Rattus norvegicus: one gene and its partner. The protein of the gene in region 2 purifies or fractionates together with the protein of the main gene of each other region. This does not show direct contact. Links are inferred from orthologs where the notes say so. Each region holds a gene or a part of one and is shown on either strand. Other genes may lie near its edges.

Evidence for each region.
Region 1: the proteins of Ddx24 (region 2) and Nifk purify together in Homo sapiens (affinity purification with mass spectrometry; 3 studies listed by BioGRID and IntAct, counting the BioPlex papers as one, with this or other methods). This does not show direct contact. The link is inferred for Rattus norvegicus from reciprocal best matches to the Homo sapiens genes DDX24 and NIFK.

What each region holds. Positions count from the first base shown.
Region 1 is NC_086031.1:31,939,988-31,955,898, reverse strand, and holds the start of Nifk (MKI67 FHA domain-interacting nucleolar phosphoprotein), read right to left. Parts: upstream 9,754-15,911; 5' UTR 9,722-9,753; coding exon 9,617-9,721; intron 8,058-9,616; coding exon of another isoform or gene 8,055-8,057; coding exon 7,920-8,054; intron 5,510-7,919; coding exon 5,401-5,509; intron 3,965-5,400; coding exon 3,753-3,964; intron 2,697-3,752; coding exon 2,628-2,696; intron 753-2,627; coding exon 567-752; 3' UTR 1-566.
Region 2 is NC_086024.1:128,329,913-128,345,277, forward strand, and holds part of Ddx24 (ATP-dependent RNA helicase DDX24), read right to left. Parts: coding exon 14,704-15,365; intron 10,737-14,703; coding exon 10,230-10,736; intron 9,487-10,229; coding exon 9,333-9,486; intron 9,076-9,332; coding exon 8,560-9,075; intron 7,543-8,559; coding exon 7,467-7,542; intron 4,830-7,466; coding exon of another isoform or gene 4,764-4,829; exon of another isoform or gene 4,718-4,763; intron 2,806-4,717; coding exon 2,617-2,805; intron 1,627-2,616; coding exon 1,497-1,626; intron 121-1,496; coding exon 1-120. UniProt on the Homo sapiens protein: ATP-dependent RNA helicase that plays a role in various aspects of RNA metabolism including pre-mRNA splicing and is thereby involved in different biological processes such as cell cycle regulation or innate immunity.

The DNA of each region.
Region 1 (15,911 bases), on a different chromosome or scaffold from region 2:
GAAAGATGGAGACTTTTTTAGAATTATCCCCACAAGCTCTTAGGTTCTCTTGTACACAAACTGCAGAAAAGTTTGGTCACCGTTGAATCTTCAATACAACCGCTGAAGCCGATTTGTGAAACCTACACACTAGCTTAGCTGCAATTAACTGTGGGTGAGAACAAGTCATTTCAGATTCCTCCTCAGCACCTGGACTGCCCTCTCACTCTCTGGATTTAACTTACAGTTTCAGATGCCTGAGGTTGAAGCCGGACACACTTTTTTGGGTTTTTTTTATATACACAACCACATACAGTCCAAACAGCACCCAGCAGCCATAAAGACTCCTGGGGGTAGTTAAGCCTGAGTTTCATAAGGATAGTAAACTTAAGGGAGCCACGAAGCCTGAAGACAAATTCAGGACAGGAAAGGGCAAAACAGCCAGTTCCCTGGTGGCTTTCCTCACTGGAAAATCAAACATGTATTCTTACTCCAACAGTCCTGTCCATGTTTGCATGTCACCACACTTAGCAAAACACAACGAGATCATATATGACTAGAACTAAGTGCATAGAACGCTGTCAGGATCACTGCTTGCTCTTCCTTTTTCTCAGTCTTTTTTTCCCAGAGCTTTCAGGTGCTGGAGTCTTTTGTGTGTCTTCTTTCACTGGTGACACAGGCAGTTTCAAAATGATTTCATCATCGTCATTGATTTCCATCAACTGTGATTTCCGTCTTTCCAAAAACGTTGGTGTACAAACTGGCGTGGGATCCTGAAAGCAACAAATACACTACAGTCCAGGACTGGGCACAGGCAGCAGGACAACCACTGAGAATCACTACCACCCTAGTGTCCATCACCTTCTTAGCCTTTACCAGGAGCGAACACCCGACACCTCTACCCCCCTAGTTTTAGGTATACCATGATCTGTTTTCAGCTTGTTCTTATTTTCCCTCGACACAAGGGAAGACTGCTTTTCCTCCTTCAAATTATGTCTATAGCAACTGATTCCCAGCATACAAGGACATGCTCACCTGGCTGTCCACAGATGACGACTGCTTCCTCCTAGACCTCTTACTCTTCTTGCTCATGTTAACAGGGTAAAGAAAGGCTGTGCTATGCCCAGATGGCATGGTGCACGCCTATCTCAGCTAGGAGCACACCACAGCGTGTCCTCAAGTTTTGACACAATGCTTCTGCACTTGAGATTGGGGCAAAGAAGCAACAGATACCTAGCTTCTGAGGAAGGCACAATAAAGCTTGGAAATCGATGCCACCTAATTACAGTTATGTGGGGAAAAAGCTGACAGGTTCTATGGAGGACAGAAGACATTCTAAGAGTCAGTTAAGGAAACCTTTGTCAACCCTCGTGAAAGACACCTGGGACTCCTTAATGTCGCAGACAGAGGGCCAAGTCCAGCAAGGCTTCCTTATCTTGTTTCCTGACTAGCAAGGGACTCAGCACCAGAGAAACGCCTCTGCTAATTCACTTCTTGCTCCTGGGGTTGCTGAAATCTAACCTATACACAATCACAAGCCCCATGCTCACCTGCTTCATTCTGATTTTGATTATTATGACTATTTCCAGCTTGAAAGAACATGAAGAACATCTTAGCTAAACTGACAAGATAATGAAGATCAGGGGGCTGGAGAGATGGTTTGGCACCGGCTGCTCTTCCAGAGGACCTAGGATCAATTTCTAGCACCCACATGGCTCACAAATGTGTGTATGCAAACCTGCTTGGGCCAAAAGGACACTGGGTATCCTACCTTATAAATCTTTATTTCCCTTGGACAAAGTCTCTCCCTGAACCTGAAGCTAGACTGGTGGCCAGCAAGTGTCACATGTCCATGTTTCCCCTCTTCTAAAGCATGAATCTGACATTATGTGGATTCTAGGATTTGAACTCAGGTCCTCATATTTCTGTAGCAAGTGCTCTTTCTCACTGACTCAGCTTCTACACAATTTTAGGGTTTTAAAAATCACAATGCTGCGGCTGGAGAGATGGCTCAACAGTTAAGAGCATTGACTGCTCTTCTAGAGGACCTGAATTTAATTCTCAGCAACCACATGATGGCTCACCACCATCTGTAGTGAGATCTGATGTCCTCCTCCAGTGTGTCCGAAGACAGCGACAGTGTACTCATATACATAAATAAATAATTAAAAAAAAAAGATACTCTCTCACAATGCAAGAGACCAGTTCTAGCCTAAAGTTACAGCAGGAGGATGGGAGGTTCATCTTCAGAACACTTTAGTTGGGGGCTTACTGTGTAACATTGGGGCTCCCTTGGGCTATATTCAAGATTTCAAGATCAATTACTAGATCTCAAAAAAGTGCCCCAATAAACCCCCAAACACCCACCAACTATATGAAGTCTTTAACAAAACGTGAAGTAGTGGAAATTACTTTTTTACCTTAAAAAAAGTTTTTTTGATTAGTCTGTGTGTGTGTGTTGTGTGTGTGTGTGTTGTGTGTAGCTCGGAGGACAATTTTTAGGAGTCAGCTCTTTCCTTCAACAATGTGAGATCCAGTGTCTGAACTAGGTAGCCAGGCTTGCTGGCAAGTGTCTTTGTTCCAAGTCTTGCCAACACTCCTGAAAGTATTTCTATAGTAACCAGTGCCCATTATCCAGATTATCTTACCTGGTTAGCCTCAGAATCCCCATGAGTGTTAGCAATGCTTGAAATCTCTTTCTTTGGCTTAGGAAGGACCTGCAAATAAACAATTTGCATATTTATCAGCTATATGCATATGTGGTAGCTGAATTCCCATTTTAAGTATCAGTGTCCAATTGCCAAATGGTTTGAATGTAAGTAACCAGGGTGAGTAGTGCATGCTTATAAACAGTACTTGGAAAGTTGAGGCAGAAAAGCCTGCAATTTGGGGGAGCCTAGACCATGGAGCAAGACCTTGGTTTAAAAAAAAAAGCTAGGGACTAGAGAGATTGTTCAACAATTATGAGCACTGACCATTCTCTCAGGACGCAGATTCAATTCCCAGCACCCAGATGGTGACTTGCAACTATCTGTGAGCTAGTTTTATGGTATCCAACACTCTTTTCTGGTCTCCAAGGATACCTGGCAACCACTTGGTACACAGACAGGAAATTATACTGGGGGAAAAAAAGCTGGCAGGGGCCTGGGAATGTAGTTCATACAAAGTAAAATACCTAAAGCTCTGGGTTATACCTCCAGGACTGCACGAACCTGGAATCATTATGTATGCCTGTAATCCCAGCACTTAGAAAGCAGAGACAGGAAGACCAGAAATTCTATGCCATTCTTGGCAGCATAACAAGTTTGATGGCAGCTTGAATGAGAGACCCAGTCTTCTTAATACAACAACAGGAGCAGCCACTAGTATAAGCAAGTTCATCTATCTACTCAGGATCCCAAGATACAGAGGCAAGAGGGTCTCTGAAGGCTTGCCTGAGCTACAAACTGCTCAAACCTGTCCATGCAACTCAGCCAGATCTTTTCTCTAAACGGGGCTAGAGTTTGAGGGTGGGAGGGATGGATGATGCAGGCTCAGTGTCCTGGGTTCCATCCTCAGTACCAGAAACATTAAAAGCAACAGACTACTTGCCTCGCATGGGCAGGCTCCAGCCTGGTTACCCATCAACCAAAAGAGCCACATGTACAAACCAAACCAAAAACCTAGTGTGAGAAGCAGATTCTGTATAATCACAGACACAAGTTACAACCAGTGAGGCAGGAAGCTCATCCCTGTAAGACAAACCACCAAGAAAACTAGAAAAGGATATTTACCAGTGAAGGAAAACTATAATCAATACCCTTCTTAGCTAGTTTCTTCCTGAGTAATTTTTCCTTCTTCTTAAACCGATATTCCATCTTTAACATCTGCAAATGTCCTCGTTTCTGATTATAGCGTTTCACTGCTGGAAATGATGGCGGATGAAACGGAACATTGCACTGGTTAAAAAGGTCTTTATGAACTTTTTCTCGTGGCATAAATTTACCTATAAAACAAACAAAGAGGAAAGGTTCTTTTAATTTTGTATTTCCCAGATAGCTATTTCTTGTGATATGAACTAACTACTTGACAGAAATAACCTTTAAGCATCAAACAATGATTACTGTCTATGAGTGTGCATGTGTGTAGGTTCACATACCCTGATGCCTGTGGAGGTAGTGCACAACTCTGGGGGTTGGTTCTCTCCTACTTTGATGTGGGATCTAGGGATCAGACTATCACACTTCCACATCAAGCAGCTTTACCTGGTGGCCCACCTCTCTGCCCTCTTCTTTCTTTTTTTTTCTTTTTAACACAGGCTCTCACACAGCCTAAGCTGGCCTTGAAGTTGCCTGCAATGAACGTGAACTTCAGGTCCTCCAGCTTCCACCGCTCAAATACAGGCACTAAAGGTGAGTGCCATCAGATGCAGTGTATGTGCCTGTATGGCCTTGTGAACGCTGGGCCAGTACTCTACCAGCTAAACTAGACTCCCAGTCCCACATAAGCCCTCTCTACCCTGGACGGGGCAAAGATTTGTAGTAAAAAAAACTCAGTAAAATCCAGAGTCTTTCTGGTATTTTCCTCAAACCAGATAAAGCAGAGCACCTATGCCCTCAGGTTTCTGTCCAGCCACTTTCTCCCAACAGGAGGCTGTATGCCTGTAAACTGGTCCCAGGCAGGGCACATGCTACCATGGGTGTAGGCAGGCTGGGCACTTAGGTCTACCTTCCAAGGCAGAGATCTGGATGGTGATGCCACAGGTTTCAGTGATGGGGCACAAGGTTCACAGGGCTCTACTTACCGATCTCTGTGGGAACAATTTATATGCCTATCTGTGGGTGAGTCATCTGTGCAGAACAAGGAGGGCTCCTTGTAGTCTTCTACCCTCTCACTCTTGGTTTTACTTCCTTCAAACAGCCTCTCACTGAGCCTGGAGCTGGGCTGACAGCCAGCGCTGCACCCATCGTTGATGAGTCTGATCTTGAAATGTGATTCTTTACTCTTGGTCTTGCCCTGTATAGACTCCACTAACAGGCCTCACATTAACTTCTTAGTTTTACGGGTGTCAAGAATCTGACCTATAGCCCATCTATCTCTCCCAGTTGAGTTCCCTAACATTTGGTAAGAAATGAACTCAGGCTGCACTGCTGTCCCTTTATTGGCTCATGACTATCTAACCGTCCGTTTTCTTTTCCATTTTTTGACATAAAGCCTCTACACAGCCACGGATGTCCTTGAACTTAGAGAGATCAGCCTGCCTGTGCCTCCCAGGATTAAAGGCATGTGACACTTACACTGGGCTTTAACCCCATCAGTTTCCAATTTGAGCAAAGTTATTCCCAAACACCCGTTAAAGATCGGTCTGCTTCTCTTCCTGAATACAACCCCACAGGTAACTTCCTAATCCAATCACAGTGCAGGAAAGGTCAGAGTACTTACATGATAGAAGCCTTTCACCAAAAAGGTAGTTATCCATTGTTTCTGCAACTATCTTGGCAACATCCTCAGACTCAAACTCCACAAAGGCAAAGCCTCTGCTGTTTCCAGTCTGAAACAGAAAACCCACAAAAGAGCAGTTAAGTGGCTAATTAAGAGCATTCAAGGAATAGGGAGGCAAAGTTTAGAACAGAGGCAGAAGGAACACCCATTCAGAGCCTGCCCCACATGTGGCCCATACATATACAGCCACCCAATTAGACAAGATGGATGAAGCAAAGAAGTGCAGACCGACAGGAGCCGGATGTAGATCTCTCCTGAGAGACATAGCCAGAATACAGCAAATATATAGGCGAATGTCAGCAGCAAACCACTGAACTGAGAACGGGACCCTTGTTGAAGGGATCAGAGAGAGGACTGAAAGAACTTGAAGGGGCTCGAGACCCCATATGAACAACAATGCCAAGCAACCAGAGCTTCCAGGGACTAAGCTACTACCCAAAGACTATACATGGACTGACCCTGGGCTCCAACCTCATAGGTAGCAATGAATAGCCTAGTATGAGCACCAGTGGAAGGGGAAGCCCTTGGTCCTGCCAAGACTGAATCCCCAGTTAATTTGATTGTTGGAGGGAGGGTGGTAATGGGAGGAGGATGGAACCTCCTCCATATAGAAGGGGAGGGGGAGGGACTAGGGGGATGTTGGCCCGGAAACCGAGAAAGGGAAAAACATTCAAAATGTAAATAAGAAATACCCAAGTTAATAAAGATGAAAAAAAAAAAAAAACATTTGACCTGGGTTCAACTCCCAGCACCCACATGGCAGCTGAAATCCCCTATTTCAGAAGCTCTGATGTCCTCCTTTCTGGCTTCTGCAGATACTAGGCATGCATGTAGTGTACAAATACACAGACGGGCAGAACACCCATACACATAAATAATAAAATTCCCTTTGAGTTGGGCATGGTGGTGAATGCCTATAATCCTAATATGTGGGAAGCAGAGGTAGGATAATTACAAGTTCAAGGCTAGCCTAGTCTGTGTAGCAAGACTGGAACAGCCAGAGTTCCACAGTTAATCTCCATCTCAAACCAACCAAACGAAACCCAAACACTTTAAAGGTGCTTACAGGATATAAATCTAAAAACCTGTTGAAACACATGGCCTCTGTCATGGGAGTGATGGCTCATCCTAGTATCTGAGCCACTTCTAGGCTCTGGAAGTGGAACCATGTTTCTGGAGCAAATATGGATTCATTGCTCACTGTACCTTCACTAGTTGAGCGGTGAACAAAGGCTACATCTCCTGGTAGCTGTTAAATAAATGCAGCAGTACATCAAGAATCAATTATTTCTTAGAGGGGCCCATAGATGTTATTTGGGGAGAGGCCTCTGGAGCAAGTGAGGAGTAGCCATTCCGTGAGACTGTGGAGTCTACAGAATTTAGCAGCTATGACTCAGGCAGAGGCAGTGGCTGCTAAGATTATCAGGAAGCTGGACAAACACTTGACAAAGGAAAAAAAGCTGCTGGCTGTATTAGCCAGGGCACCTGCAGGAGACAGCAGGTACATTCCAGAAGGGATCCACGAAACTCAACCCACCAAGAGCCAAAGCTCAGGAGCCTCCTCAGGAAATGGAAGACTCAGACAAAACAACACCTTGTTTCCAAGGAGGGAGGTAGAGACAGGTGGGGCAGCACAAGTCTCCCAAGGGAAAGGATTGTTCAGAGAACTAGGAAAGGCAACCAGCAGAAACCCCAAGAGTTGGAAATTCTCTTCCAGGGAGGAACCAGTGGGCAACAGGCCTTAAGAAGCTGGTGTGGTACCACAGACAAATCCCACCGCATGATTTAAGCCCCAGTAAAAGCAAATTCACAAAAAACAAAACAAAAAAAAACCCACCAAAAACCAAAACCAAAAAACTGACCTGCCACTTCTGTTTTGGCTAAACTGGCTGGGAGCAAGTTCTACAATCCAGGCTCCAGCTCCCAGTACTGGGCTCACTTGGCCTTTCAGTTGGTGCTTGAGGAAAAGGTGCGTGTGTGTGTGTTCTACTTCCTGTTTAGAGCGCGAGTGCTCTTACCATTGGGCCATTTCCCCAGGTCTCAGTCACCCTGTCACTGGGCTGGAGCTGGGCTGAGCTGGCTAGTCAGTGCGCCCCAGGAACCCCATTCCCACTTTCCTAGCACTGGGATTACACATGTATGTGACCATATCTGGCTTTTGACCTGGGTTCTGTAGATGGACAGTTACAAACTGGGCTATCTCCACAGCCTCATTATTTTTCTCTCTTTATTGAGATAGAAATCCACATTATGTAGCTGTGACTGGCTTCAAACTCAGTGGTCTACCTATCTGTCTCCCAAGTGCCGGGACGAACGGTATGAGCCACCATGCTGCTTCGCTTGTGAAGAGTTCCCAAGTAGGAACTTTGTAGGTAACAAAGTTTTGCCTATGAATACAAAGGAGGCCGTACAATTGACAAGCAAAATAAACATAGTTGAATTCAGGTACAGAATCTTACCCGCTTACTTCTGGACAATCTGAATCTTCTAATATCGCCAAACTGGGCACAGTAGTCATAGATGTGGCTTTCAGAGAGCGTTGAAGGTAGGTGCCCCAGATAAACTACTCCAGAGTTAAGTTTTTCTTCCTTCTTCTGCTGAGGACAAAACAGATAAACATTTTAAAAAATTCACACTGCACCAAAACATTGTATATACACATTTTTTTCTGACCTGGGTCTCATTATGGAGCCTTGGCTGGCCTGAAACTCACTATGTAGACCAGGCTGGCCTCTAATTCATGAATACTAAGAGTAAAGGCATTACTATGCTCTCTGCAAAGGACTTTATTTTTCAACAAAGGTATGTTACCATTCCTTAACTTCAGAAAAATTTAATTCTAAAGTCTTTTTTCCCTTTTTTGAGACAGGGTTTCTTTGTGTAGCCCTAGTTGTCCTGGAGTTAGCTTTGTAGACCAGGCCAGACTCAAACTCACACAGACCCACCTGCTTCTGCCTCCTGAGTGCTGGAGTAAAGGTGTGTGCCACCACCCCCCAGCTTTCTAAAGTCCTTTCAGAGGATAGGTAGAGCTTTGCCTGCCTCTGTCTCTCCAGCACTGGACTGAAGGTAAATGTAACCTTACCTGGCCTGCAACAAAATTTTCAACACCCTTCATTCCTCTTGGTCCGGGAACATTTCTCTATCACAGCAGAAACTGAAAAACTAGGTGTCTGTATCTCTTTTCTTAAGCACCGCTGTGCAAACCTGAGGCTTGAGTTCAATCACACAGAGCCACAGACTCTGCAGAGACAGACTTATGTGTGCCGTGGTGTGCATGCACACCCACCTGTCCCTACAAAGCAGTCGGCACATGTGTTCCTTAATGGACAATCAAGTGAAAGTCTGTCATTGTCACTCCGAATCCAAGACCTTCAACTCTGAACTCAGATGGCAGCTTATTACATCGAATCATTTCCGATTAACCTTCACAGTGAAGACTATACTTCTGTCACCACCTTAGAGAACAAGAACTTGTTTCCCATCAGGTAGGGTACTGGGTGACCTATAGTGACCTACACCTGTAATCCCAGTGGATATATGGTTCAAGGACTAGACTGCACGGCAAATGTGATGCAATTTTGTGCTACAAAAACTCTACAAAGACACTGTAACAAAAACAACCCGCACAAAAGACACCCCCGCCAGGACAACAGCAAAACAAGAAAGAAAATCTTCCTTTCTCTCCAGTGCACCTCATGCTGAAAACCAAAGGGGATATAAACTTCCTTTCGGGGCAGTCTGGGAACAGAGCTTGGCAGGCTGTAATCCCTATTTTCTTTGGCGAAGCTCTGGTCTGAATACTGAGCCCGAGCTGTTTTCTGACTCTCGATCCTCCTGCTTCCCCGCTCGTCCAAGGACCTGGATTTGTCTGTTCCGTCTACTAAGCACTACAACGTAAGGGGACATACATACCTTCCAAATGCTGTGGTTCATTCTGAACCCCCATTTTGCGGGCCAAAGCGGAAATGTGACAGCTTTAACATATTTTGGGAATTGGAGGTGCCATGCTCCCCACACGTGGTACACCTCCTTTTTCACGTGAGCCCTGAGGGCCTAAAGGGTCAAACCTCACACCGATTCCCTGCCTGCCTCAGTCTCCAGAGCCCGTGAGAGGTGGGCTCCCGAGTCAGCGCGGCCAGAGAGCCCCGCCGCTCACCTTTTTCGCGCGCCGTTGTATTTGCGTCAGATCCTTCTCAAACTGCGAGTCCTCCCGCGGGTTCAACGCCAGAGTCGGCTTCGCAGGGCCTGAATACTCGGCCATACTGGAGAAGCACGAACAAGTTAATCCACGCGGAACCTCCGGAAGTGACGTTCTTTTCACTACTCGGAAGCGGAAGCAGAGGCGGGAGTGTAGCAAGAAGAGCAAGCCCTGGTGTTTGGAATTGGACGACCTCGAGCGCCACCTATTGACCACAATCTAAAAGACTTTCTAAGACGGATTAAAAATTATTCGGAGGCTAATGTTGGTGAAGTGCTTGCCCAGCTCTGCATAAACCATGACTGGAGCCCCACGCCTGTAATCCTAGAATTTGGGAGGTGGAGGCAGGAGGATCAGGAGTTCAAAGCGGTTCTCATATGCATAGTTCGACCACGGCCTGGGCTCCATGGACTCAAAACAAATTTACAAGTCCCAAACATTATCCATGTCTGTTGGCTAGTCAGGCCTACAAGCAATAGGGAAAGTCTTCCTGCCATGGACTCCTTTTGTAAACTTTGTAAACACTCAAGCAGGAAAGTGGTCAGGCCCCTGCCTGAGGAGCTTCAATGGCCAGCCTCCCCAAATCTCCACATGTCCCCCTCTTTCCCTAACATCCCTAACGATTTCTAACCGCCCAGAAGTGGGAGAGTGACCAGACTCTGGCATACAAGAAAAAAGTTCCACCAGTCCCTGAGTTCCCTCAGGTTCAGGACTTGAAATTCCACCAGTCCTCACCATGGAAATCTCCACAACATAGTGCAACATATATTTGTATTTTTGATATTATACATGTGTCTTTATGTGTTCAGGAATTCAGGTGACCATAGAGAATAATGGTGTGGGATCTCCTGAACCTGGAATTACAGGCTGTTGTGAGATGCCCAGTGTACTGGGAACTGAACTCAAGTCCTCTGGAATAGTAGAAAATATTTTTAACTGTGAACTACTTGTTCAGTCCCTATTTATTTTATTTTTATGTGATAAGTGTTTTGCCTGTCTGTATGTGTACCCTATATGTGTAATGTGTGTGCCGAGGACAGAAGAGGGTATCAGAACATGGACTTAAGGACTGTGAGCCAGGGTCCTTTGGCTCTTAACCACAGAGCCATCTCTTCAGCTCCCTAGTAGGTTTCTTTAGATAACACAATAGGAATTTTGAGAAAACACACACACAAAAAAAGAAGTTTGAAGACTTTCTTATGTTGAAATAATTGTCTTGGGATGTAGCAATGGCTCAGTGGTTAAGAGCACTGGCTGCTCTTTCAGAGGTCCTCAGTTCAATTCCCAGCAACTACATGGTGGCTCACAACCATCTGTAGTGTGATCTGACGCCCTCTTCTGGTGTATCTGAAGACAGCTACAGTGTACTCATATACATGGAATAAATAAATATTTAAAAACTGTCTTTCTGTCTTCTCCATTTGTTTATTTACTTATAGATTAATTGATTGATTGATTTTGTGTGTACGCCTGTCAATGAGTATGGGTGTGTGCACCTTTGCCCTGTATCACATGTGTCTAGGTCAAAAGATGACTTGCAATAGTTAGTTCTTTCCTTCCCCGGTATCGGTTCTGGGGACTCGGGGCTGGTGGTAAGTGCCTTTACTTGTCAAGCCATCTTAATGACCTGGTCTGAAGATTATTTTAAGCCAAACATTTTTGAGACTCAGGGGATACAAAAAGGTCTTTATCTAAGAGAGCAAGTTCTGAGGAGATGTGGCTTCCTTAAATCCCTTTGGGGAATATCATGACATTGAGAACACTGTAAGAGGGGCTGGAGGTACAGCCTCGGTACAGAGCTTACATGCCTGTTTTGAAGCTCTGGCTTCTATTTCAAACTCTGAGTAAGCAGCACCTAGACAGCCAGCAATGTATGAGGCCTTCTCAGTTTCCACAAAAGGGGGAGGGCAATGGCAAGGTGGCTCAGAGGGTAAAGGCTACTGCTGTTAAGTACTGCTGAATTGGACCATGGAACCCAAATGGTACAAAGTGAGAACCAACTCCAGCAAGCTCTCCTCTGAGGCTGTACTAGTTTTCTTTCTGTTGCTATGATAAAACAAACCAAAACTAACCTGAGTGAGAAACAAGATTTTGTCTTATAGGTTAAAATCCAAAGGCAAGAACTGAAGTAGAACCCATGAAGGACCATTGCTTATTGGCTTGTTCCCAGGCTCATACTCAACCACTTGTCTTATATAAACCAGGCCATCTGTCAAAGGATGTTAGCATCCACAGTGGGCTGGGCCCTCCTATGTCAACCAGCAACCAGGAAAATGGCCCCAAAACATAACTCCCAAGGACAATCTGATGGAGGCAACTCCTTAACTGAAGTTCCCTCTTCCTAAGTGTATCAGTTACTTTCCTGCAGCTGTGATAAAGCACCACGATCAATGGACATTATAGGGAAAGGAGTTTATTTTGGTATATAGTTCCAGAGGAAGAATGCAGGAGAGCAGAGAAGTCATGGGAGCAAACAGTAGCAGGAAGCTTGGGAGCTGAGAGAGCCCATCTTCTGCAAACATTAAAGCCTCTACCTCCCACGTTCTCGCATGCTCAACTCATCTACCTTAGTTTTCTATTACTGGGATGACATCACGAGTAAGGCAATTTGTAGAAGGAAGAGTTTATTTAGAGCTTACATTTCAGAGAGTGAGCCCATGACACTCATGGCAGGGAGCATGGGGGTAGGCAGGCAGGTGGGCAGGGCACTGTAGTAGTGGCTGAGAGCATATGTCCTAATCCACAAGTAGTAGGAAGACAGAAAGCTATCTGGTAATGGCATAGGCTTTTGAAACCTCAAAGCCTTCCCATAGTGAAACATGTCCTCCAACAAGGTTCCACCTCCTAACTCTTCCCAAAGTTTCCACCAACTAGGAACCACGTACTCAAATATATCACCCTAGGGGGGGCATTCTAATTGAAACCATTACATCTGGTTCATGTTGTACTGAAGTCAAATCCAACGACTCACATTCTAGGAGAGCCTTCTACCTCTAGAGCTGTATCCCTGGCCTAGGGCCTGCGACTTGATTATGTCATCAAGTTCTTCAATTCCTTTTCTGATTTTCTGTTCTGTTGACATTTATCTTATATTGGTCTGATTCACAGACCCTCATACACAGAATAGAAAAAAATGGAAAGTGTTTTCTCTTATTTCTAGAAGATACGATGTACAATTGGCTATGTCAACTGGAGAGATGGCTCAGTGGCTAAAAGTGTTTGCTGCTCTTTCAGAAGACACAGGTTTGATTTCCAACATCCATGTATCAGCTTAAAACTGTCTGTAACTTCAGTTTCAGGAGATCTGTTGTTTTTTGGCATTCTCCGGCACCAGTCACATATGTAGCATACTTGCATGTATTCAGGCAAAATACTCATACACATAAAACAATACTTATGTTGCTTTGAGAAAAGGTCTCATTATGTAGCCTTGGCTGGCCTGGCACTTACTTTTTTTTAATCTTTATTAATTGAGTATTTCTTATTTACATTTCGATTGTTATTCCCCTTCCCGGTTTCCTGGCCAACATCCCCCTAAACCCTCTCCCTCCCATTTTATATGGGCTTCTCCTCCCCATCCTCCCCCCATTACCACCCTCCTCCCAACATTCACGTTCACTGGGGGTTCAGTCTTGGCAGGACCAAGGGCTTCCCCTTCCACTGGTGCTCTTACTAGGCTATTCATTGCTACCTATGAGGTTGGAGTCCAGGGTCAGTCCATGTATAGTCTTTGGGTAGTGGCTTAGTCCCTGGAAGCTCTGGTTGGTTGAAATTGTTGTACACATGGGGTCTCTAACCTCTTCAAGCTCTTCCTGTCCTTTCTCTGATTCCTTCAACGGGGGTTCTATTCTCAGTTCAGTGGATTGCTGCTGGCATTCGCCTATGTATTTGCTGTATTCTGGCTGTGTCTCTCAGGAGCGATCTACATCCGGTACCTGTCAGCCTGCACTTCTTTGCTTCATCCATCTTATCTAGTTTGGAGGCTGTATATGTATGGGCCAAATGTGGGGCAGGCTCTGAATGGGTGTTCGTTCTGCCTCTGTTCTAAACTTTGTGTCCCTATTACCTGCCAAGGGTATTCTTGTTCCCCTTTAAAGGAGTGAAGCATTCGCATTTTGGTCATCCATCTTGAGTTTCATGTGTTCTATGCATCTAGGATAATTCAAGCGTTTGGGCTAATATCGACTTATCAATGAGTGCATACCATGTGTGTTTTTCTGTGATTGGGTTACCTCACTCAGGATGATATTTTCTAGTTCAATCCATTTGCTTATGAATTTCATACAGTCATTGTTTTTGATAGCTGAGTAATATTCCATTGTGTAGATGTACCACATCTGTATCCATTCCTCTGTTGAAGGGCATCTGGGTTCTTTCCAGCTTCTGGCTATTATAAATAAGGCTGCTATGAACATAGTGGAGCATGTGTCTTTTTTATATGTTGGGGCATCTTTTGGGTATATGCCCAAGAGAGGTATAGCTGGGTCCTCAGGTAGTTCAATGTCCAATTTTCTGAGGAACCTCCAGACTGATTTCCAGAATGGTTTTACCAGTCTGCAATCCCACCAACAATGGAGGAGTGTTCCTCTTTCTCCACATCCTCGCCAGCATTTGCTGTCACCTGAGCTTTTGATCTTAGCCATTCTCACTGGTGTGAGGTGAAATCTCAGGGTTGTTTTGATTTGCATTTCCCTTATGACTAAAGATGTTGAACATTTCTTTAGGTGTTTCTCAGCCATTCGGCATTCCTCAGCTGTGAATTCTTTGTTTAGCTCTGAACCCCATTTTTTAATAGGGTTATTTGTTTCCCTGCGGTCTAACTTCTTGAGTTCTTTGTATATTTTGGATATAAGCCCTCTATCAGTTGTAGGATTGGTAAAGATCTTTACCCAATCTGTTGGTTGCTGTTTTGTCCTAACTACAGTGTCCTTTGCCTTACAGAAGCTTTGCAGTTTTATGAGATCCCATTTGTCGATTCTTTTTTTTTTTTTTTATTAACTTGAGTATGTCTTATATACATTTCAAGTGTTATTCCCTTTCCCGGTTTCCGGGCAAACATCCCCCTCCCCCCTCCCCTTCCTTATGGGTGTTCCCCTCCCAACCCTCCCCCCATTGCCGCCCTCCCCCCATAGTCTAGTTCACTGGGGGTTCAGTCTTAGCAGGACCCAGGACTTCCCCTTCCACTGGTGCTCTTACTAGGATATTCATTGCTACCTATGGGGTCAGAGTCCAGGGTCAGTCCATGTATAGTCTTTAGGTAGTGGCTTAGTCCCTGGAAGCTCTGGTTGCTTGACATTGTTGTACTTTTGGGGTCTCGAGCCCCTTCAAGCTCTTCCAGTTCTTTCTCTGATTCCTTCAACGGGGGACCTATTCTCAGTTCAGTGGTTTGCTGCTGGCATTCGCCTCTGTATTTGCTGTATTCTGGCTGTGTCTCTCAGGAGCGATCTACATCCGGCTCCTGTCGGTCTGCACTTCTTTGCTTCATCCATCTTGTCTAATTGGGTGGCTGTATATGTATGGGCCACATGTGGGGCAGGCTCTGAATGGGTGTTCCTTCAGTCTCTGTTTTAATCTTTGCCTCTCCCTTCCCTGCCAAGGGTATTCTTTTTCCTCATTTAAAGAAGGAGTGAAGCATTCACATTTTGATCATCCGTCTTGAGTTTCGTTTGTTCTAGGGATCTAGGGTAATTCAAGCATTTGGGCTAATAGCCACTTATCAATGAGTGCATACCAAGTATGTCTTTCTGTGAATGGGTTAGCTCACTCAGGATGATATTTTCCAGTTCCAACCATTTGCCTACGAATTTCATAAACTTGTTGTTTTTGATAGCTGAGTAATATTCCATTGTGTAGATGTACCACATTTTCTGTATCCATTCCTCTATTGAAGGGCATCTGGGTTCTTTCCAGTTTCTGGCTATTATAAATAAGGCTGCTATGAACATAGTGGAGCACGTGTCTCTTTTGTATGTTGAGGAATCTTTTGGGTATATGCCCAAGAGAGGTATAGCTGGATCCTCAGGCAGTTCAATGTCCAATTTTCTGAGGAACCTCCAGACTGATTTCCAGAATGGTTTTACCAGTCTGCAATCCCACCAACAATGGAGGAGTGTTCCTCTTTCTCCACATCCTCGCCAGCATCTGCTGTCACCTGAGTTTTTGATCTTAGCCATTCTCACTGGTGTGAGGTGAAATCTCAGGGTTGTTTTGATTTGCATTTCCCTTATGACTAAAGATGTTGAACATTTCTTTA
Region 2 (15,365 bases):
GGTACCTGGTCTTCAGGTTCTCCTGAAAGAGTGGCTGGGAGAGCAGATGGCGTAGCTCCTGCTTCAGAATCTTCATCTGCTTCTGCCGCCGGCGCTCCTCTTGCTGGTCAGCTTTTCCTCCTTGAGACACACAAGTATAAGACCATGTTTACACACAAATATTTTCTTTAAATTAAGCTGTGCTGGCTTGAGAGTTCAGACCATAAGTGGATAACTCCTGTTTAGGAGGGATACAGTAGACCACCGTCCTTCACAGTTCAGGAAACCAGTAAAGACAGAAACTCCTCCATTTACAGGTAAGGCAACTCAGGCTTAGAGTCCCATAACAGTCACAGAGCGAAGTGTCAGAGATCAGAACTCACATCTGATTGAAGTCTACTGTCCTACTTCTGTAGCCACACACTGCTACCTGGGGTAGGCTGACCACAAATTCCTAGGGAGACGGTAGCCCACCAATGCTGTAAGTGCACACAGAGGTGGACACAGCCCAACCCCACCCAAGCCTGACCTCAGCAAGGAAAGGTAGGGGCTCACATCTCTACTTGAGCTCCAGCTTGAGCTCCAAGGAGAAGCACACTATTGGCAACTCCTGGCTCCTACACTGAGCAGCAGTCTGCCTGAGAACTTGCTCACTGGGTACTGAGAAGTCAACACCTCAGTTGAACTGCCCTGCTGGTGTGGAAGAAGGGGTACCAGCCATAAATGCTGTCATAGGCCCAGATGCAGTTTTCAGCTCTGCTATGCAGGGCCATGCAGCCCCTCACCTCTATTCTCTTCCTTGGCTTCTGGCCCACAGACAGAAGAGGATTTAGGCAATGCCTGGCAGTAGAGCTATTCTGATGTACAAATTCCTTTTCTCTGTGAGCCTTTTGCTTTGTTTTTTGTTTTTTTTGAGATAAGTTTCTCTATGTAGCCCTGGCTGGCCTTGAACTCACAGAGATGTACCTGCCTCTGCTGGGGTTAAAGGCAAGTCTACCACTGCCTGGCTCTCTGTAGTTTTTATTAATTTATCCCTCTTTTTCCCTCATGTAAAAGGACAGTAGCTCCTACTAAATTCATGCCAAGCAACTGAAGAAGTTAGATGGGACACGAAGGTGCTGTGCTGCTCAACATTAACTACCATAAGTAACTACTTAGCAGTGTCAATGCCTCCTATTTTTCAAGCATAAGTGCATCCAGTTTAGTTTCCTTTACTCAACCTTGTCAGGAGGTAGGGAGTTTCTTACCTGTCTTATAGATGAGGGAAGGAAGAGGCACAGCAAAGGCTAATCATACAGTAAAAGGACAGGCTGCATTAACAAGGATACTCTGCTTGTGATCTACCCCTAGTCATGGAGTCCAAGGGCCGCCCATATGAGGCAGTCAGACAAGAGAGGCCAAGGCATCTGGCCCATACAAAATAAGCAGCCATAAGAAAAGGGAGCCTGACTCCAGTAGCTTACCGGGGTGAACCAGGTAAAGGAAAGGGGGAAACAAACACCCGCCCAGGCAGGCACCTTTGTACATCTCTTCTTCTAGTTCAATCTCCAGGGCCGCCGCTGCTTGCTCGATCCATGAGTTGTGCAAACAAGCCTGGAAGTTCCGGTATTCAGCTTTTTCAATCTGCCGGGCTAGACGGATCCGCTCCTGAGGGGGCAGTGACACAAAAGAGTCATGTGATAAGGGGCTGGGCCTCTCAGCAAGCTTACTGAAGCAGTTTTTAAACTGCAATGTGGCCAGTGAGCAGTGAGAACCAACACAGATCCTACAAACCCTTGCTAACAGCCCAGGTGACCATCACGACCACAGAAGCCCGCCTGCACCTCCTTAGAGCTCTGTCCCAGTGAGCTTGTCTCCCCTTTCCTCAGTCCTTTCTCATGGGTGTTGAGGTCCCACTGCAGTGACGACGCTGTGCTTATCCTGACACGGAGAGACCGTGTGTAGTGGGAATAAGCATGGAAGTGGGGTGACTTCCAGGAGCCTTACCAGGAATTCTCTACAATCCCGCTCTCTACCAGCCCCATCTAAATCCTCACACAACCAACATTCATGCCAAAGTGCTCACATACCCTTAAATCGCCCCTTGTTTTCACGCCCTCAATGCCCGTATCTCCCATCTTCTCTTCACCCTCATCTCTGCAGTAGAACGAAGGCTCTGCTCCCCACATCATAACCACACACCTATCGGGCCCATGCTTCACAGACACCTCACTGTGCTGGGGGCTTACCCTACACACACACTGGTGAGCCTCGGGAAAACACCCCATATTACACCCTAATACACTGGGGCCCGGGGTACCCAGACATCACAGCGGATGCTCCTGAGCCTTACGGTCCCTGCTTCAGGGAGCACCAGGCCTTCAGCATTCACCTCCCTGTTCACAGCTCCCTGACAGATGTCTCTGTGGCTGAGCTCTGGAGCAGAAGCAGGTGGAGATTTCAGGACCAGATATCAAAGTGAATGAGGGGCAAAACGCAGACTTTTCTAGTCACTCCCCCTTTCTGACTTTCTCCTAGAGCTGGCACTTCCAGCCTTTTAACAAAAGCCACTGTCTAGCCACTGGCAGAACCATTTCTCAGTTCCCTAGGGTAAGGTGCTCTGTGAGGAGGCGGTGCACTGGAATTTAATATGTTTACCTTGACCATGTCCATGTACTTTGACTGCACTGGGAACAGTGGGATGTCCTCATCTTTCTTGAGAGTTTTGTAAATCTTCTTGAAGTTGATCACATCCTCAGGCCCAATCAGCATCAAGCTGAGGCCTTCACTGGTAGCACGAGCCGTCCGACCGCTTCGGTGGATATAAATCTCCGAGGTGCGAGGCACCTGCCAAAGCAGCAACAAGGGTCAGCACGCAGACAGACAGTGCCCAACAAGGGTCAGCACGCAGACAGACAGTGCCTAACACCGCTCTTTCCCTCAGGGCACACCCAAAACTGGCTCTGTTCTCGGAGGGACAGAAAATTTACCCGTACATGCTGACACTCAGACTGTGCTTAAGTCGACAGTCTACCCACTGTACAGGTTCTACCCCACCCCCATGGCCTCCAAAATGGTCCAGCTCTTCATACTCAATCTGATTGTTTTTCTCGTCTTCTCCACTCTCACTCCCCTTGTGACCAATACCATCTACTTCAGTCTCCACTTGGAAACCCCACAGACTCCTCAGCTCGGCATGACCAGTGATGGTACATTTATAACCAACAGTTACTGAGTGGCTGCTTTAAGCCAACCAATCACAAAATACTTCGTATGTGTTCGTTTGAATGAGAAGTTCTCTGTTAAGTTTCAGGTATTTGAACACTTGGTCCCCAACTGGCAACTGTGTTTTTGAGGCCTAGGAGGCATCACCTTGCTGAAGAAGTTGTCACTGGAGGCCAGGCTTTGAGCTCACAAAAGCTGGATACCATTTCCAGCACTCGCTCTCTGCTTCCTATTTCCAGCTGAGCTCGCAGCTGCTGCTCCACCCACTCCCACCTGTTAGCTCCACTCCCCGTCATGAGCTCACACCCTCTGGAACCCTGTGGAACCGTGAGCTAAATAAGTCGATTCTTCTCTAAGCACCCTGATCACACTGTTTTACCACAGCAACAGAAGTGTGATAAAGACTATTATCCTAGTCATATGAAATACTTCATCACTGTCTACATATTATAGACGCGGAAACTACAGAACACTCAGATCCACCACTTCCTCTAGGTTATCCAACTCCATGACCACGTTAACCCAGGATGACCTGTATAGCAGGTGTGCTGTCCACAAGCACGTGACATGGGTACCTGTGCCCTCTTCCCTGACTCCTGTAACCACCACCACTAATGAAGTGCAGCAGGCTCAGTAACACTACGAACCGTTTACCATGATTCTAGAAATGAGATTTGCCATTCTTCATCAAGGGCCAGCTCCTTCCCATGACTCTCTAGCTGCAGCCACCTGCTCCCAGCTTACTCTGCAGGCTCAGAAACTACTCACCTACTCCCTTCCCAACCAAGTCCTGTGCTCTCCCCAGGCTAAGTAACCCTGTGCTTGCTAGGTTTTCTCAATTTGATGAGAAATGCTGCCATCAGAATGAGCGGCCTATAGATAAGCCTGTGGGCATTTTCTCCATTTATGGCAGATGGAACAGGACCCAGCCTCAGTGAAATCACTGTGGCAATGCCCCTTGGACAGGAGGGCCTGGGTTGTATTAAGCAAACTGAGTAACCCATGAGGAACAAGGCAGTAAGCAGCACTCCTCTGTGGTCTCATCTTCAGTTCCTGCACCGACTTCCCTTCATGCAGACATAAGCTGTAAGGTCAAACAAACCTTTCCTTCCCAAGTTGCTTTTGGTCATGGTATGTAGCATAGCAGCAGAGCCCTAAGACATACCCCAAGCATGCTCCCTCCATACATTACCTGTCCCCCTCTGCATGTCCCAACCTCTCCATCCCAGAATGCCAGCATCTTCTAGAAAGCACTCAGCGCCCTCTCAAATTGTATCACATGTGGTAATTTTCTAATATCTCCTGCCTCATGTTATGGTGGGGGCCACATCTCATTGCTCCTCTACAGGATGTGGTGAATTCTTAGGGCTGGGACTGTACTGTGTGGTGATGACATCTACAGCAGACCCAGTCCCTCTATCACAGAAATGTGCTACTCTGAAATCTACACCCTCAAAAGATTTTTAAATGCAACGAAATTAAAGATGAAAAGCACTAAAAACATCCTACTAGAAGCCGGACTTTCCACACTTACAGTGTCAGGTGTCACCATTCACTCAACTCAGCTCTCAAAACAACCCTCAGGGCAGGAGTGGGTGCCGCTTCCAGCCTACAGGTGACATACAGAAATGAATGGTCCCAAGTACCTGTGTGTGTGGAGAGCCAAAGATGGAGTCCAAGTGTCAGAACCTCCTTCCCAGCCGTGGGATGGTCTGCAGCCACACTCACCACCTTAACCAGTTGCTAGAACATATTTCAGGGTGTGAAGGGGCCTCTGTGTTTTAAATCTGACTGCCAGTTTCTGGTGATAGTCACAGCATCCCTTATGAATATTTAGGAGGATGCAAAGCAGATGTAAATATGTGAAACCATACCTCAGCGGGCATGCCCTCAGTGGGGGAGGGCTCTCACCTGCCCAAAGCTATGGACACTAAAGCATCAGAGTGGTGCTCAATTCCTGGCAGCAGGATCTGGAGCCCACGCTTCCAGCTACAACTACATGGTACTGTTGGTTTGTCACAATCACTAACGTTACTGCTACTACTGACCTGGAACATGTAGTCAGTGTTTCCAACTGGCTGCCCAAGCTCTTTACCTTTGTGCCCTACTAACCCAGAGATGCACAACCCTGTCATTTACAAAATGAGAAAACCAAGGGATACAAACTATTTATTGAAGGTCACACAGCCAGGATTTAGCCAAGGGCAGTCTTAAGTTCACTGCCCTTGAACTGCACAGCAGCCATTTAACACACAGCTGTGTGTGAGGAGTCCTACAGACCCCCCTGCACACACACACCCCAAAAAAACTCCAGGGTATTGCCAAGACTAACTGTTGCTCTCCACAAGCTGACGGTAAAGCCCTTCTGCTGAAGGCCACACCTACAGAATTCACTGAACATGGAGAAGTGGAGGTGCTGCCTACCTAGAACCTTCCTAGAACTACTCGAATCCCTATGTACCAGTGCTATGTGGACTAATGTCCACAGTATGAGAAAGTACTCTGCATGTTACCAGAAGAAAAAGGTAAATAGCAACCCAGCTACCAACCCCTCCATCTACCATGGTGACCTGCAAGAGTGGCACAAACACTGTGGGAGTGACTGGCCGTATGGGACTGGAATCAAGGCCCACACCTTGAGACAGAACCCATGTCTGACACTGCTAGGCAGCCAAGAAACTGACACATACCCAGGGGCAAACCAAATACTACTGTTCTGTTAAAGGAACACAGCAGCTAAATGGCTCTTTAATAGCATCCTCCTCCTGTACTCACAGAGCAGTGTCTTGCTCAGCTATCATCAATAAGAAGCTTTCTCCTGAAGCAGATGGGAACAAATACAGACACACAACTGGACACTGGAACATTAAGTCTTAGTGAGATGTCTCCATCAAATTCCTCCTCTCAGGGCTCAGGAAACATTGTGGAAGAGGAAAAGTGGAAAGACTGTACAAGTCAGCAGGTATGGAAGACACAAGGAAATGAGGCCTTCCTGACACAACAGGACCGACACACGTGTGAACTCAGAGACCGAAGCAGCATGCACAGGGTCCGCACAGATCTAAGATCTAAGCCAAGGGCCCTAGGGCCGAGAAGAGGGGTGAATACAAGCCCCCATCCCCAACCCGGAGGCTATCTGTCTTCGACTGACAACCCCTGGCATAAGAAAAGTTAGTTTTCTCCAGCAGTCTCACTGGGTATACAAACCACGCTTAGGGTCAGGCCCCAGGCCCCGCAGTACACGGCCAACACAAAATGAACTTGACAGTATTTTCAGAGATTTCCTCTTCTTCTTCTTCTTCTTCTTTTTGGTCTTAAAATGCTCCCCTCCTTCCCTTTACAGGTTTTTGTTTATATATTATGGTTTCTGATTCTGTGGTTTTCTGGGATTTTGTGTATGGGAGTGTGTGCCTTTGTATCTGTGTGTCTCTTGTATTTTACAGTTGGACTCTGGCTTGTTTGCTTTGCTTTGCTTTGTTTCAGTTGCCTATTTTGTAAAGAGAGAGAAAGAAAAAGTACAGATGTGGGTGGGTAAGGAAGATGGGAGGTGGGGAAGATCTGGGATGACCTGGGGGAGAGGAACTGTGATCAGAATATAGTGTATAAAAAAAATCCATTTTCAATAAAAACTAAAATTATTAAAAATCCTAAGCCAAAATTATGTCGCTGTGGTCTATCCCCACCAAAACTCATGCTGAAGCTAAATTCTTTGGTGTTACAAGTACAGCAGTGTTAGGAGGGGCCTAGTGGGAGGTGTCTGTGGATGGGACAGAAAGAGAACTAGAGTTCTTGCTCTCCAGGGTCTGGACTGGCATGAGACACACGCCAAGGCTGTCTCCCTCCTGCTTACCTCCTGCTTGTCCTTCCACCAAGGCTCCCACAGAAGCTGAGCGGATGCTGGTGACACGCCCTTGGATTTTGCAGCCCCAGAATCAATAGGCACACCCTCTTTAAAAATTACCATGTTTAAGGCATTCTGTCATAGTGACAGAAAACACTAAGCTCACACTTTCATCTGTCGATATCGAGTAGCCTGAAGAGAAAGGCTACTTGATAGGGCTCTCACCAAGTATCTGAAGAGCAGTAACAGTGAGCACTGATGCTAATGAGAACCTGTTACAAGGAACCTGAGGAGGAATATTCCTCCCCTCTGCTCGACTTCTGCTTTAACATTTCCTCATTCACTGCAGGGGTGGGACAGGGGATGAGGAGCAGGGGTGTGTGTGTGACAGGGGATGGGATGCAGGGGTGTGTGTGTGTAGCATTAACACCAAGAGCTGTACCTGGTAATGGATGACATGCTGAACTTTAGGAATATCCAGACCCCGAGCTGCCACGTCTGTTGCCAAGAGAACACAGCTGTGTGGAAATAAGCACACCATAATTATAAATAACAGTAGTTATCAGTCAGCTCAGCACCTGCTAAGCTCTCCACACTACAGCCCTACCAGGTAATACTAGTATCTCACTTCTACAATCAAGAACCCGAGACTGAGAGATTCACTTTCCATGGTGTGAACATGGCTAGTCTGTTGTGAAATCAGGACCCCAAATCTGGGTCTTACTGTCTCAAGCACATGCTGTGTTCTGTGCTGTGAATGAAGTGAAGCCATATCCATTCTGGGTCACCGTCCTTGTCTCCTAATACCTTCTCGCTATTCTCCGCCATCCTGAGAGACTGCCTCACTCTTCCTAGACAGACACCATATGCCCACTCCCTGCACCACTGGTTCACAGGCAGATGGACAAACATGGAGAGATGAGCCATGGGCTCTGGAGTCTGACAGAAATCTGAGACCCAGCCTGTCATTTCCATGTTGTAGGAGTCATCTGATCATCTAACGAAGTGAGAAGAGCAACGGAAATAAGCAGTAGTGGGTCACTGTGGTTACGGAAGGCCACCCTGGCAGGCACTGCCCACACTTTCCCTGCACTGCTCCCAGTCACTCCATTCTTGCAACCCCACGCCTGTCACCCTACATGTGAGGCAGTGAAGCACAGGCATGCTGGCTATCTTGACCAGCGAGGAAGTGAAGGGGTCAGGATCTGCTCTCAGATACTCTGGTTCTGGAGGCTGTGCTCTCTCAATCACAACCTATTCTGTTGCTTCCAAGGATGCTAAAAGTTAAGGGGATGCCCAGGACTTCGTTTATTGTCTAATTACTGGAAGTCTCTGTAACAACATTAATAGCAAAAAAACGCAATGAATGAATGACTTTGCCAAATACAGAGATAAAATTAAGGAAAAAAGAGCTAGCCTGCCTTGTGCTGCTAGGGTACCTATGACAGAAGGTGGAGTCCCTAGTTCCCTGCCCCACTGCCCTCCTGAGCACAGTGGCTCATGGTTCAAGGCCTCTGGAGACAGACTTCACTTACTCTTCCAGCCGAGCAAACTGCTCCAGGTTTCTGAGCCTTTGCTTCTGGTGCATGCAGGCATGCAGGGTCAGTGGCATGATATCCAAGACCTTGAGGAGCCCAGAGAGGCGTTTGATGCAAGAGATGCTGTTGGCAAATACCAGGCTACGACCTGGGTACTGCATGAGAAAATAGTAGAGATACAAGTCTTTCTCATCTGTCTCGCAGTGGATCTTGGTCTCCGTCAGCGTCTCCACTGTGCCCTCATTCCTTGTGAGGTCAATGACTTTCGGTTTGCCCCGCATGCCAATCTTCTGCATGAGAAGGTCAAGTTTGGCAGTTTTATCCATTTTCTTCACGTGTTTCTTATGAAGGATTCGTGCAGGAGCTTGGTGTACCAAGGTTAGTGTGGCAGAAAAAACAAGAGTTTGGCGATTGGGGTTGTACTGGGAGTCATTTAGCATCTCTAGCAGCTGAGAGAGTTCAGCAAAATGGTCTTTCTCAACCATCCGATCAGCCTCATCTATGACCAGGCACCTGCAGGGAAGGAAACCTCTATAAGACATCCTGCTTCCACCCCACTTGCATGTTTTCATCCGTGGTGCACACAGCACCCTGCCATCACTTCTAGGCACCCATTAACTTTTCTCATGCATGCTCAGTTTTTGAGAAGAGGGCCCGGATGGCCACAAGATTCTGTAATAGTGAGAAAGCATTGCACACACCAACCATGCAGCCACCTCAGGCTTACTTCAGAGATGGTTAAGGGGGAAGGGGGAGGGGCCACCTCTCACCTGAGCTGCCGAAGGTTACTCAAATGAGGGTGTTTTTCTTTGATTAACTCCCAGAGCCGACCAGGGGTGGCGATCACAATCTCAGGATGGCGGTTCAGCATCCTTTGCTGTTTCTGTGTGGACATTCCACCGACTAAAATTGCTGTATTGATCCCTACAGGACAGAAACCAACAGATACTGTCATTCCCTCTGGCTGCTCATCCTATGGATCAGCACGCACTACCCAGCACAGCTTTCTATGCCAAGGAAATGCTGCCACAGTTGGCCTGTCCTGACTTTTAGAGGCTTACCAAGTAGTCTGCACTTTGTGGTCTGGACCCTGTCTACTTTGCCATTTCTTCCCATTCTCTCCTTAACCACAACAGAAAGGCTGCATTTGAACCTCGTCACTTATTTCCAGAGCTCTGAAGGTGAGCAGTGTTGGACCAGAATGCTGGGAAGGATGTTTATGATGTGACACGCTATAAGGAGCCCTTTAGGGTCTGGTGTGTCTTCTCTCTAAGAGAGAATCGCTCTGGAGCCGTTGGATAGAAGTGAACTCACATGCTAACACAGCTGAGGCACTGAGCAAGTACGCTGGGCTTGAAGAACTCAGCCCTGCAATGTGGCTCTAGTTACGATAAACACCACACTGTGAAAACCTTTCCCTGAGGAACAGAATTATGCTTCTATCTCAAAGCAGGGACCTTTTGTTCTTAAAAGGTCCGGCTACTCACAAACATGTTATAGATCTGGTCCCCTTGAGGAAATTAAACACCTATCGACTGATTTCTAAAGGACTTAATAGTCCAGCAGATGAGAACACTCCCCTAGGACAGGAGCCACAACTCTTACTCTTGTCATCTGGCATTCAGAGACCTGCTTAGAAACAGTTACTAAGTGAAACTAAATCTCACCTGTAAACTTGGCCACAGCATCAATGTGTTGTCTGACCTGGACAGCCAGCTCTCGGGTAGGAGTCAGGACCAGTCCAAGCAGAGGGCGCCTTGGGTGTACTTTATAAACAGCAATTTGGTCACACAACTCCTGCTTTAACTTTCCAGCCTGCTCTTCATCCAACTTTTCTTCTCTGTCCTTACTTTGCTTTTCCTCGACTAAGGAAGAAGGCCCTTCACCAGCATCATCATCACAGAAGAGCCCTGCCTGGGCTGAGGCAGCAGAAGCGCCAGCCTTGGCTGTGGCCTGGACCCCAGAGTCACTGGGCTGTGCTTCAGTCTCAATTGTGGCCTCTTCAGGCAATACTCCAGACTTCGCTCCATCCTTGCAAGGTGAGCCACGATGGGCTGCAGCTCCTAACCTCGGTGGCACTCCAGCGCTACTTGGGATGGGTGGAGCCTTCATCTTATGCCACTGCAACACTGAGTGAATCATCGGGATGGCAAAAGCCAGCGTTTTCCCGCTTCCTGAGAAGTAAAGCAAGACCAACAGAAATCCATGATGCGCAAGTCATTGTTTGAAGTTCCTGCCTTTGCATAGAAATAAGGAAACCTCAAAGAGTCACGTGCCTCCCTGACTGACCCAAAGCACCAGCACTCTACACAGGTCCTCCAGCACAGGGATAGCACGCATGGTGCAGTGTGAAGTCACCAGAGACACCAAAGTGAGGAAACCATAAAAGCCTGAAGGGTCAGTCTTGTCCTGTGGAGAATCTGTACAGCACATATCCCTAAGACCCTTTTCAGTGAAGGAAGGAATAAAATAAATCACTCTTTTCAGAAATCTAAACATGTTTGACTTTATGCGTGAGTGTTTTCAAACTGACCTCTGAAGGCATAATGGAGCCCATAACACCTAAGGGTCAACCCAGGAATTAGAAGTAGAGATTTTCTCCTTAACTCATTTTACTTTCTGCATTTCAGCTACTCATGGTCACTTATGGTCCAAGAAGTTATTAAACTGATAATCCCATAAATAAGGATTTCAAAAGTTTTAAGCCATATATCACTCCAAATAGTAAGGGGACTCGAACACTGCCTGGCGCCATCTACACAAGACAGGAGTCTTCCTTCTGTCCCACTATAAATGTTACCCACCCATGAATATTATCAGACTATGCGCCCTGCTTATGTTCAGGTAGCTCTTACTTTATCTACTGGTCCTACCACCTGAGAGTAGTTACCCCAATGAGCAACTCAGACAGGCTAGAGCTAGAAGCTGTAAAGTGTTTTTCTCGAAATTCTCGAACTTAGAGAAAAAAAAGTCATGAATTGGTTACTAAGATCTACAATATGAATGAATGTTCTTTCCATGAAATTGTAAAGAAGTTTATGTTAGTTTTGCTGTTATATCAATCTGCAGAAAGTATGACCATGGAGCATGAATGCTCAAGATATAAACACATTCAATCTATAAATGTTCAGGGGAAACAATACAAACAGGGTTCAGCAGTATCTATCTCATCTGTGTTTGGGGGATCTTCTAGGGGACCTGAAAGGTGTCCTTCCTGGATACTGAAGTTGCCAGGTAAGAATGCCCCAGACAAAGTCAATGCACCAGCTCTGGAAGAAAAACAGTCCCAGCCATTAGCTTCGGAGAGCTCCGATGGGGACGGGCCAAATGGGCCAGTGAGACGGCTCAGCTCAGCCGGTGCCACTTAAGTCTGAGCACCTGAGGCCACTCCCAAGATCTACATGGTGGGAGTTATGAACTGACTCCCACAAGTTGTCCTCTGGCCTCTATAAACAGGCCTTGGCTTGCACAAACTTATACATCAATGTATACACATACAGAAATAAATGTTTTTTAAAACTTTGAAAAAAGGGAGAAAAAACTTTTATGAAGTTTTCAAAGAAAATGACAGTTCTAAGTGAAAAATAACCAAACAAGCAAAGCATTAGAAGAAAGAGCTCAAACAAACAAACAAAAAACCACAAAACACCTGGAAAATTTAAGGGAAAAAAAGACAGTAAAAGCCGAAACATAACAGCATCCGTATTTAACAATCTCAGAAAAGTAAAACTGACAATCAGAACTATCTAGAAAAAATTCCTTTAAGACAAAATACAAAACAAAGGCTACTTTTGTGCTATAAAGAATGCAAGCCGAAGTCTTCCAGGCAGACAAAAGATGGTGGTTTAGGAAAAATATCATTCAGCCATGGAAATATCCATCCACATAGGAACTGAAGTGTATCAGAAGTTACAAAAACAAAAGAAACTGTTTTCTTTTTAAACCTCTTTAAAAAAAATTGCTTACAGCAAAACAGTAAAAGCATATTTTAGAATTTCCATCACAAAAACAGAAATACAAAACAAAAAGCACCAAGGAAGGGGAGATGGAAATTAGCCCTTGAGAGGTTCTCATGCCACACATGAGGCACTGTATCACTCGAGGGTAAACTACAGTAGATGCATATGTACAACTTGTGACGTAGTCTGTGACCCTAAAGCAAACACTGAAAGACACAGCAAAGGCCTGGCTACAAGAGAGGAGCCAGACAGTGCCTTGAGTGTATACTGGGTCTCATTCGCAGTTCTGAAATGAAACCCTTGGCACTTTTTGATATGTATATTTAGTTGTGGTATTTAGTTTTCCTCTACATTCCTGGTGTAAGACACAGACGCTCAAAAGGGTCTTTTTGTAAATTAATTAGACTGTGAGCTAAAGACTAATTGTCTCCAGAAAACTGCAAGATAGGAACTGGTGGCTGCAGGGCTGGAATTTCTGCCCGCATGCATGCACACACGCGCGCATGCACGTACAGACACACAGACACACACACACACACACCCCTCCTGACCACCAGAGAGAGGGACTGAAGATCAATCTCCAAAGATGGAGGTTTTTATCAATCATGCTCATATAATGGAAGCCCTATAACACTACAAACAATTTAAAAAGCTTCCAGGCTCGAGACTGCATAAAAAGGTGACATGCCCAGAATGGGTGCACAGAAGCCCTTTGCCCTCTTACTAGCCTCAATGTTTAGCCCTGTCAATCTCTACCAGGCTATTCCCAAGTTATATAGCCTTTAAGCCTGTAAACACTTCTCCATGAAGTCTGGGAGTCATTGAGAAAAGTATTAAACCCTTGGGGGTGGGGGTAACATGGGCTCCTTAATCTGAAGCTGAATAAATCAGGACTAGGGGATGCTCAATAAGGAAGTAGTCTTGTTAAGACTCGGAACAGAGCTTACAGGGGAATGACTTTCATTCCAGGTATGTCAGAAGAGAGCTGCACTATAGGACATCTGACTCCAGTTGAGGTAGAGAAATAGTTGGCTTGGTAAAACCTCAAGAGAACCTGTTCTATCAGAAGTGCATTGTAGTTACAAACATCTTGTTTTCTGTTGTTTTGAGACTGGGTCTACATCTCCCTGGCTGGATTGGAACTTGTTCTGTAGACCAGGTTGACTTCAAACTCACAGACCCTTCTGCTTCTTAAAGGCACTAACCTTCATGGTTTTTGTTTTCAAAAAGTTCCTAATTCAAGTTGAGTACCACAACCCAAACATCCAAATTCCCAAATGCTAAAAATTTTTATACATTCTTAGTGCCACCAAGACCTGCAGGCTTTCTGTTTAAGGAGTGTATGAAATACATGAATTGCATATATAGACTTGGATCCTACCCCTCATGTTTAATATATAAACCTGCTAACAGATTGTCAGCCACATGAAACAAAAAGTTGGATAATATTTTAAGTGGAAAAGAATCACTCAGGGGGAAATGACTAAAAGAAAACAATGCTCTTATTTTAAAATTTAATTCCGTATTTAAAAACCTTCCTGGATAGGAAAGAGCAAGTCCAGGTGAACTCTAACAAATATTTAAGGCTGAGGAAAACACCAATTATTTAAACCCACTCTGATAACTGAAACGACAACACTTCAAGTTAATGAGACCAGTTTAATGCCAACACTACAAGAAAACTACAGATGACTATTCTAATGCCACAGCCGCACTTGACCAAAGCCAGTGATGTATAAACACACTGTGACAAGCTCACTATGTGTGAGGAAAGTCTGGTTCTCACTTTTGGAAATCAATGTAATTTGCTTTATCAGCAGACTAAAACCAAAAACCTACATACCTCAATACATACAATATGAACATGTGTAAAAACTCTGACATGCATTTTTGATTTTAAAAACTCTCGGTAGAGTTGTGAGAGAACACTCTCAATCTGACGCGGTCCAGCTGTGCAGACACAAAGTAGTGTTCTCACCTCCATCTCACCTTGGGCCTCAGAAACAGAGCGGAGTACCAGATTCAAGCAGGACAGATTTCAGCCCAGAGCTGAATGGTTCTAACACCTTCCGTGGCTTTTGTGGCCACATTCCCAACAATCCCCTCTCCTAGTTTCCCAGCCTGTGAGCAACCAAAGGCTGGCTCCAGGAGCTCTACCTAGGGCAGACAGAGCATCCCTTACCTGTCTCAGCAGCTCCAAGGATGTCCAGTTTGTCACGGATGGCAGGGGCCAAAGTCAGCGCTTGGATTGGGGTGGGTGCAGAGAAACCTAGAAAGCTGAGAGCTCGGAGAACAGCCTTGGGTACAAACAGGTCCCTCCAGGCCGACACGTCTGCCTTCTGGTCTTGCACCTCAGGCATCCACGTCTTAGCTTTTTTGGGCACTTTGGGGGCAGTGCTCTGAAAAGTGTCTAATTTTTTTTTCCCTTTGTTTTTCTTCTTTCTTGGAACAGTCTGTGCCAGGCTTTCCGATGTGGCTCCTCCTACCTTCTGATCAGAACACACAGTGATTTCTCCCTGAGCCCCTGGCTCAGAAGCTTTCCCTTCACATTCATCCTGGGCAGCGCTGCCTTCAGCAACGAGGATTGCATCTCTCTGCTTCTTCAATTTGATCTTTTTCTTTGGGGAGCTGGACTCTCCCTCCTCCTCTTCTTCCTCTTCAGACACAGCCTGGGCCTTTCTCTTCTTGGTCGTCTCATCTGAGAACAAACGGGAGGGATTCTTGACTAAGCGGTAATCTGTCAGTTCCTCAAAGCACACCAAGTCATCCATCTGTCCATCTGCAAACAGATTTGGGTCGATCGTCACTTGCTTCCATTTCCCCACAACCTTGATGCCCTTCCTC